Linked DNA regions of Canis lupus familiaris. The main gene of each other region encodes a partner of the protein of the gene in region 2 in a complex. Links are inferred from orthologs where the notes say so. Each region holds a gene or a part of one and is shown on either strand. Other genes may lie near its edges. The genes, in order: PTTG1 and ESPL1.

What was found.
Region 1: the proteins of ESPL1 (region 2) and PTTG1 are in contact, whole or in part, in a cryo-EM structure (PDB 7NJ1), measured with the Homo sapiens proteins. The link is inferred for Canis lupus familiaris from reciprocal best matches to the Homo sapiens genes ESPL1 and PTTG1. Residues at the interface, in NP_036423.4 of Homo sapiens: His402, Thr405, Val406, Tyr409, Ser461, Asn462, Tyr465, Tyr468, Arg505, Arg508, Glu512, Glu544, Thr547, Phe548, Arg551, Gln590, Lys593, Ala594, Val595, Arg596, Thr599, Gly600, Arg603, Gln634, Cys637, Tyr638, Trp683, Ile686, Glu690, Ile697; in NP_001269311.1 of Homo sapiens: Tyr111, Pro112, Glu113, Ile114, Glu115, Lys116, Phe117, Phe118, Pro119, Phe120, Asn121, Pro122, Leu123, Phe125, Glu126, Ser127, Phe128, Asp129, Leu130, Pro131, Glu132, Glu133, His134, Gln135, Ile136, Ala137, His138, Leu139, Pro140, Leu141.

What each region holds. Positions count from the first base shown.
Region 1 is NC_049225.1:51,189,150-51,192,103, forward strand, and holds the end of PTTG1 (securin), read right to left. Parts: intron 1,934-2,954; coding exon 1,775-1,933; intron 828-1,774; coding exon 751-827; 3' UTR 683-750; downstream 1-682. UniProt on the Homo sapiens protein: Regulatory protein, which plays a central role in chromosome stability, in the p53/TP53 pathway, and DNA repair. Probably acts by blocking the action of key proteins.
Region 2 is NC_049248.1:44,735,810-44,739,495, reverse strand, and holds the end of ESPL1 (separin), read right to left. Parts: intron 3,255-3,686; coding exon 3,099-3,254; intron 2,990-3,098; coding exon 2,819-2,989; intron 2,695-2,818; coding exon 2,590-2,694; intron 2,437-2,589; coding exon 2,321-2,436; intron 1,656-2,320; coding exon 1,572-1,655; intron 1,439-1,571; coding exon 1,274-1,438; intron 1,034-1,273; coding exon 832-1,033; 3' UTR 691-831; downstream 1-690. UniProt on the Homo sapiens protein: Caspase-like protease, which plays a central role in the chromosome segregation by cleaving the SCC1/RAD21 subunit of the cohesin complex at the onset of anaphase. During most of the cell cycle, it is inactivated by different mechanisms.

The DNA.
Region 1 (2,954 bases), on a different chromosome or scaffold from region 2:
AAATAAAATCCATGAGCAAACATTTACAGTCTCTGATATTTTGATTATAATCCCAGATTTGGAATCGAGGTAAGAGCACTTCATGTCTTTGCATATCAATGAATTTCTGAGCTTCACTGTCCTCTCCTGAAAAATAGGGTCATAAACATGAAACACAATAACAATACTTAAAACCAGTCCAAATACAGTGTAAGTAACTAAATAGTGTTTCCTATAGGTGAAGAGTGTATATCATCACTATCTGTAAATTATCTGCTGCAATCTTTGAAGAACCTAATTGAAGATCCCAGGGACATAGAGTTCTTGGAAGATTTAGAGCCTTTCAAATTCTGATTACTGAATAGTGAGTATTAAAGTCATTAGAAACCAAATAGAACCAGCAATAAAGAATGCTTAGCAATAGATATTTAATGAGCTGAAGTGGCTCTTCTAATTAAGAGATCTAATAACTGTCACTAGTTAATGGCCACAGAAAGGCAGCAGAGTACACATTTAGGAGCGTAAGTTTCAGGGAAAACAGTGGCAGTGTCTAAAATAAGCTGTTAAAGACAAACCAAAGGGTTCTAAGGTGAGTTTTTCAAATCTAATATACTTGTATTGTCAGATTATAGACCCCTGTCAAACACTTAACAATGATTTTCATACCGTTTTAAGCAAATGCCAAAGAATACCAACCGCAATATTAGGAAAGGTCTGTTAAAGAATTGCTTTATTAATACAAAATACACAAACTATTAAGTGCTAAGAAATTCAAACATCTAAGTCATAGCAAACAGGTGGCAATTCAACATCCAAGGTCGACAGAACGCTGGGAGACTGCAACAGATCTAGAAGACAGGAATTTCTTACTCAATATCTGCAAACGCTTTAGTCCATCTCAACACAGACATTGGTTGTCAGTTTTACTCATAAATTCTTATTTTCCCCTTTGTCTAATGAATCCCTACCCCACCCCCAGCTAAACACACACACACACACACACACACACACACACACAGACACACACTTACTTCTTGAAATGTGGCTAAGATACCAGAACTCACCTTCATTAGGAAATAACCTTAAGACATACCTGAAACTATTGTTCTTAGAGACCCACGTAGGAGCCAACAATATCACTAATGTAATTTATGGAAGCATTTGTTATCCCATCAGAACAAATAGAAAACATACTGATGATAGCTTTTGACCACCAGCTTGAATAGAGTACAGGCCTCAAACCTTGGCAGTAAGAAGGTTTTGCCAATTCTGTGCTATTGCGCTCAAGTGTCCTGAACCTAGATTAGCCGTGGATAGAACTTGGAAATCTCATTCCAAACAAGTTTACTATACCTCAAGTTATAACCCAAGAAGCTTTATGCTAAATTTAATATTATTTTCTGTATCTAAAACTGCGTAGGGGCACCTGGGTGGCTCAGTGGTTGAGCATCTGCCTTTGGCTCAGGTCGTGATCCTGGAGTCCTGGGATCGAGCCTTCTTCTCCCTCTGCCTAGGTCTCTGCCTCTTTCTCTGTGTTGCTCAAGAATAAATAAAATCTTTAAAAATAAAGTATAAACAGAACTGTCCAGATTCCAGAATGATTTAATTTTACCTGAGCACTTGGGACTGAAAAACTACCAAATGAGAGGTTTCATTACTCTGAAACCTTATCTCTTTAGTTAGAAATAGAAATCACTTGTAGGCTAACCTTCCATACAATTCTGCCCCCACAATAACGGCAGTATCAAAACACAAATAATTCACAGCCCTACTAAAAGGGCACTTGCTCACTTACCAGACTCCCAGGATAGAGAAGGCATCTTCAGGGGTGAAGGGGGGCCCAGGTGCAACAGCTTTTCAAGTTCCCTCTCCTCATCAAGGATCATGAGAGGCACTCCATTCAAGGGGAGGTGTGCAATCTGGTGCTCTTCAGGCAGGTCAAAACTCTCAAAATCTGCCATCAAGACAAAGCAATTTATCAGGGCAATGCTTCTGAGAGTGGTCAGTAGCCCCACGGGGATCTGAGACCCTTACAGTGGGCCCAGGAGGTCAAACTATGTTCTTAATAACTTCAACACCTTCTGCTGTGTTGACACTTTCAATGATGGGACAAAAGCAATGATGGATGGAATTGCTGTGCTTTAGCACAAATCAAGAAGTGGCAATAAACTATATTTTATAGTCACTATATTCCTCAAAACCATTCACTTGCAGTAAAAAATTGCCAGCTTCACATATCACTTTATCATCTACAATAAAAAGTATTAATTTTATTAGCTCTCAACCCTGAAGAACATGTCTTTTTAGTATTCTGTATGATGACCATAAAGTACTTCTGTTGCATACCGAAGTACCAGGTGAGGTCAAAGAAAAAAGATCTGTACAATTATTTGGTTTGCAAGCTAAACTAGCGGCCTTTTTCCTGTAATACTATTTAGTTGAAATAACAGAAAGACAAACTGGTTACTCAGACTTGGGTATTTGTAACACATTTTCTCAGAAAAATAAAAGAAGTCTATCATTTAAAGAAACAGTATTTATTGCCAATGATAATATACACAATCTCAAGGGGAAAAAAACACTAGAACTTTGGAAAACTTATTAGCTTGTCAATTTCCTAATATTTTTCTGAAGAGATCAGTGGTGACATTAATGAATGTGTGTTTGATATTGCATCATGAAACCCTTCAACATTTGGATAATCTACATTTCCCAGTGAATCATTATTTCTAAATGATCAATGTGTGATAAATGCAAAAATAAAAGATTTTCAAACTGCAGAAGAGCCCAGTGGATTTTATGGTCAGTATAAAATGTTCACTGATAGGGTTTCAGATTACACATCACAACCATACATTTGGAAACTGCCACTTGTTGAATTTTAGTGTGGTAGGAAAGAAAACTCTCCACACTTATCTGAAAAGACTATCGAAATGCTCCCCCCTTTCTTAACCACGCATCTGCATGAGGCCAGA
Region 2 (3,686 bases):
GTGGGGACAGGGCCTCTTCAGCACCCACGCGGGAGGGGGGCGAGGACGGGGCAGCCGGGGGGCGGGGGGGGGGCAGCGGTTTAGCGCCGCCTTCAGCCCAGGGCAGACCCTGGAGACCTGGGATCGAGTCCTGGATCGGGCTCCCTGCGTGGAGCCTGCTTCTCCCTCTGCCTGTGTCTCTGCCTCTCTGTGCGTCTGTCATGAGTAAAAATAAATAAAAATTAAAAAAAAAAGCTCCCGGCGCTCCCAGGATAGCTGAAGGCACGGAGCCGGACCGCCGGCGCTGGGTACTCTCCCACTCCCTGGAGGCTTTGTCCCCACTGAGCGTTTTTTTTTTAAATAATTTTTTTTAAAATTTATTTATGATAGTCACACAGAGAGAGAGAGAGAGGCAGAGACACAGGCAGAGGGAGAAGCAGGCTCCATGCACCGGGAGCCCGACGTGGGATTCGATCCCCCATCGGGCTCCAGGATCGCGCCCTGGGCCAAAGGCAGGCGCCAAACCGCTGCGCCACCCAGGGATCCCTCCACTGAGCGTTTTGATCCTGTTCTCCTTCAGCTTTGTCCGCGGCGCCAAGCCGGGCCAGTTTCGCCCTGTGCTTTCGCCTCTTCCCCACAGTCTCAGACTTGAACTCCTGCAAGGTTCTCACCCCTTCCGCCACGCAGTGGGATGAACCCCACGGAACAGGGTTGAAGTATTACAACTTTATTATATTAAGGTTAAGTCAAAGGGAAATGTTTCATATAAAACACAGAAAAATCACTTAAAATATCTAAGAGGATGTGGAACTGTCACGTGGCTCCTGAGGGCGCTGGGGCAGCTCCAGGGGGTCACCGCAGGCAGACGGGCAAGCCGTACGCCACAGGTGCAGCCCCAATAAGATGCTTGAGTCGGGGAGCCTGGCGGGCCTGGTTGACGTAGTACAGAAGCGGGGCTCCTGGGCCTGCCCGCAGCCAGCCCTGCAGCAGAGCCTCCGTGTAGCGGTCAATGTCTCGGTCAGTCACATCCCAGAGATTACCCAGAAACAGGGGACTGGGAAAAGACAAGGAAGAGCTGCAAAGTGAGGGCCGTAACACGCGGGCAAACGCGACTGCTGATGGTGGGTGAGGAAAGCGGAGTGAGCCAGTGGGAAGTGCCTGGTCCACAGTTCCAGGAGGGTAGAGGAGGGCAAAGGCTTGAGGCCCCCACATGTCAGAGAACTAGAACGCGAGGAGAGTGGGGCATTAGGGTTCAGGCCGGGGAAGGAACCTGGGCTGGGCCCTCAAGACTCACCAGCCGGCCATGATGTACTTGAGCACAATGCCAGCTCCCTCCAGGCTCCCGTGGACAGCCAGGGCCGCGCTGCTGCAGCCGAACAGCAGGGCCACCGCCCGGCAGCTCAGCCGGAGGACGGCCTGTCCGTCCAGGAAGCGGGCCCCAGCCCCGTGCCCTGCGTAGCTAAGGCAGAGGGACGGGAGATGAGTCTGACCCAGCAGTACCCGGCCTCGGCCATGTCTTCAGGGGCGTCCTTTAAGGCCCCATAGCAGGCCACGGTGATACCCCCGCTCCCGTCCCTGCCTTAAGCACTCACATATATAAGTCGTGCTCCGTCAAGGCCGCCTGTATTTGTTCTGGGCTTGGCCTTTCCCCAACCACACCTTTCCAGCCAGCTTCACTGCAGAGAAAAGGTAGGGATTAGAATTGGGGTCAGCGGGCCATTTTGGCGGCTGCTGTTGGTTGGGGTCGTCCCGCATCTAAGGCAGGAAGATGGTGGCCGCAAAGAAGACAAAAAAGTCGCTGGAGTCGATCAACTCTAGGCTCCAACCGGTTATGAAAAGTGGAAAGTACGTGCTGGGGTACAAGCAGACCCTGAAAATGATCAGACACGGCAAAGCGAAACTGGTCATCCTGGCCGACAACTGCCCGGCTTTGAGGAAATCTGAAATAGAATACTACGCCATGTTGGCCAAAACTGGTGTCCATCACTACAGTGGCAGTAATACTGAATTGGGCACAGCGTGTGGGAAATGCTACAGAGTATGCACACTGGCTATCATGGATCCAGGTGATTCTGATATCATTAGAAGCATGCCAGAACAGACGGGTGGAAAGTAAATCACGCAAAAATTTTTCTTTAATAAAACTGGCCAGACCTTGTTTTTTTTTTGGTTTTTTTTTTTAAAAAAAAAAACAAAAAAAAAGAAAAGAAATGGAGTCAGCAGAGGGAATACCAGGAGAAGGTGGGCTGCAATACGTGATTCCGGAGGCGAAAAGGGCATACTGCCCCTCTACGTTGTCTCTACCCGCCCCCAGCCCCTCTCTTACTCTTATCCCACTGACCTGCTAAAATTGGCTCGAAATTGCTCCTCTGTGCTGGACAGGTTATTGTGAGGGTTCAGGACATAGAAGGTATTGCGTGGATCCACCCCTTGGCTTAGCACTGACGAGGCCCCAGACTGAGGAGAAGACACTGGTGGTCAGGACCCTGGTCTGGCTCAACCTTCAGCAAACTCCAAAGCCCTTTCACGAATGAGCCACCGGTCCCTAAGACCCATTCCTGTCTCCCAAGACCTCCCTCGATCAGTCATTCCTCACCCCCTGAACCCCACCTCTTTGATGATGGAGTAACTGAGTAGGAAGCGGAAGGAGGGCAGCCGAGTGACGGACAGCGCCCGGAGGCTGGGCATGCTCTCCCATGGCAGCTTTTGCAGGTCCTGGGCAGAAAGCACACACGGATTACTCTCCCTAGCCAGGATGCACAAGCGTCCAGAGGGGCATGAGGGGGGAGTCGGTACCCACCGCCCACCAGACACCACCCCTCCAGCCCTAGCTCCTTACCTTGTCTAGCACTAAGACAAGGTGCCTGTTGCTTGGTACCGTCTGACCCTGCAGACGTCCTACGGCCTCACTCAGAAGCTCCTGGGCTCGTTCTGGCTGGGCTGGGCACAGCCCATAGGCCAGGGTCTGAATGTCCTCGGGAGCAAGGGTTCTGGCACTATGGAGCATGATCTGCAGGGGAACGTGGTCAGTGAGCGCAACGGCTCCCACCTCCAGTTACGATGGCACGTGGGCAAGAATTCATTTGAGCTCCATCCCCTTCCCTGATGTCTCCACTCACTTTCAGCAGAGTTGGGTCAGGATATTTCCAGCCGCATTCCTGCAGCAACTCTTGTAGGCGGGAGGCCTCCTGTGCAGGGCCAGGGTCGTCACTGGATGGTAGCAACAGTCCCCTCCAGCAGCCCAACACATGCTTCTCCAGGGAAGTGATGAGAGCCTGAATGAGGAAGAACAGATCCTCCAGTCAGAGGAGTGGAGTCTCTTGGCCCCCCGGACGCCAACATTTTGGATATGAGGAAATGGGGTTTCTTTTTTCAGCTTCTTTTTATTTATTTATTTATGTCACACACAGAGAGAGAGGCAGAGACACAGGCAGAGGGAGAAGCAGGCTCCATGCACCGGGAGCCCGACGTGGGATTCGATCCCGGGTCTCCAGGATCACACCCTGGGCCAAAGGCAGGCGCCAAACCGCTGCGCCACCCAGGGATCCCCTGGAAATGGGGTTTCTAACGTGTGTATTTGTCTTGTGTTATTTTCCGCCAGTTAAAAAGGTAAGAACCTAGAGGAGCACCTGGGTGGCTCAGTCGGTTAAGCATCTGACTCTTGATTTCGGCTCAGGTCATGATCTCAGGATCTCCCTGGGTTGGGC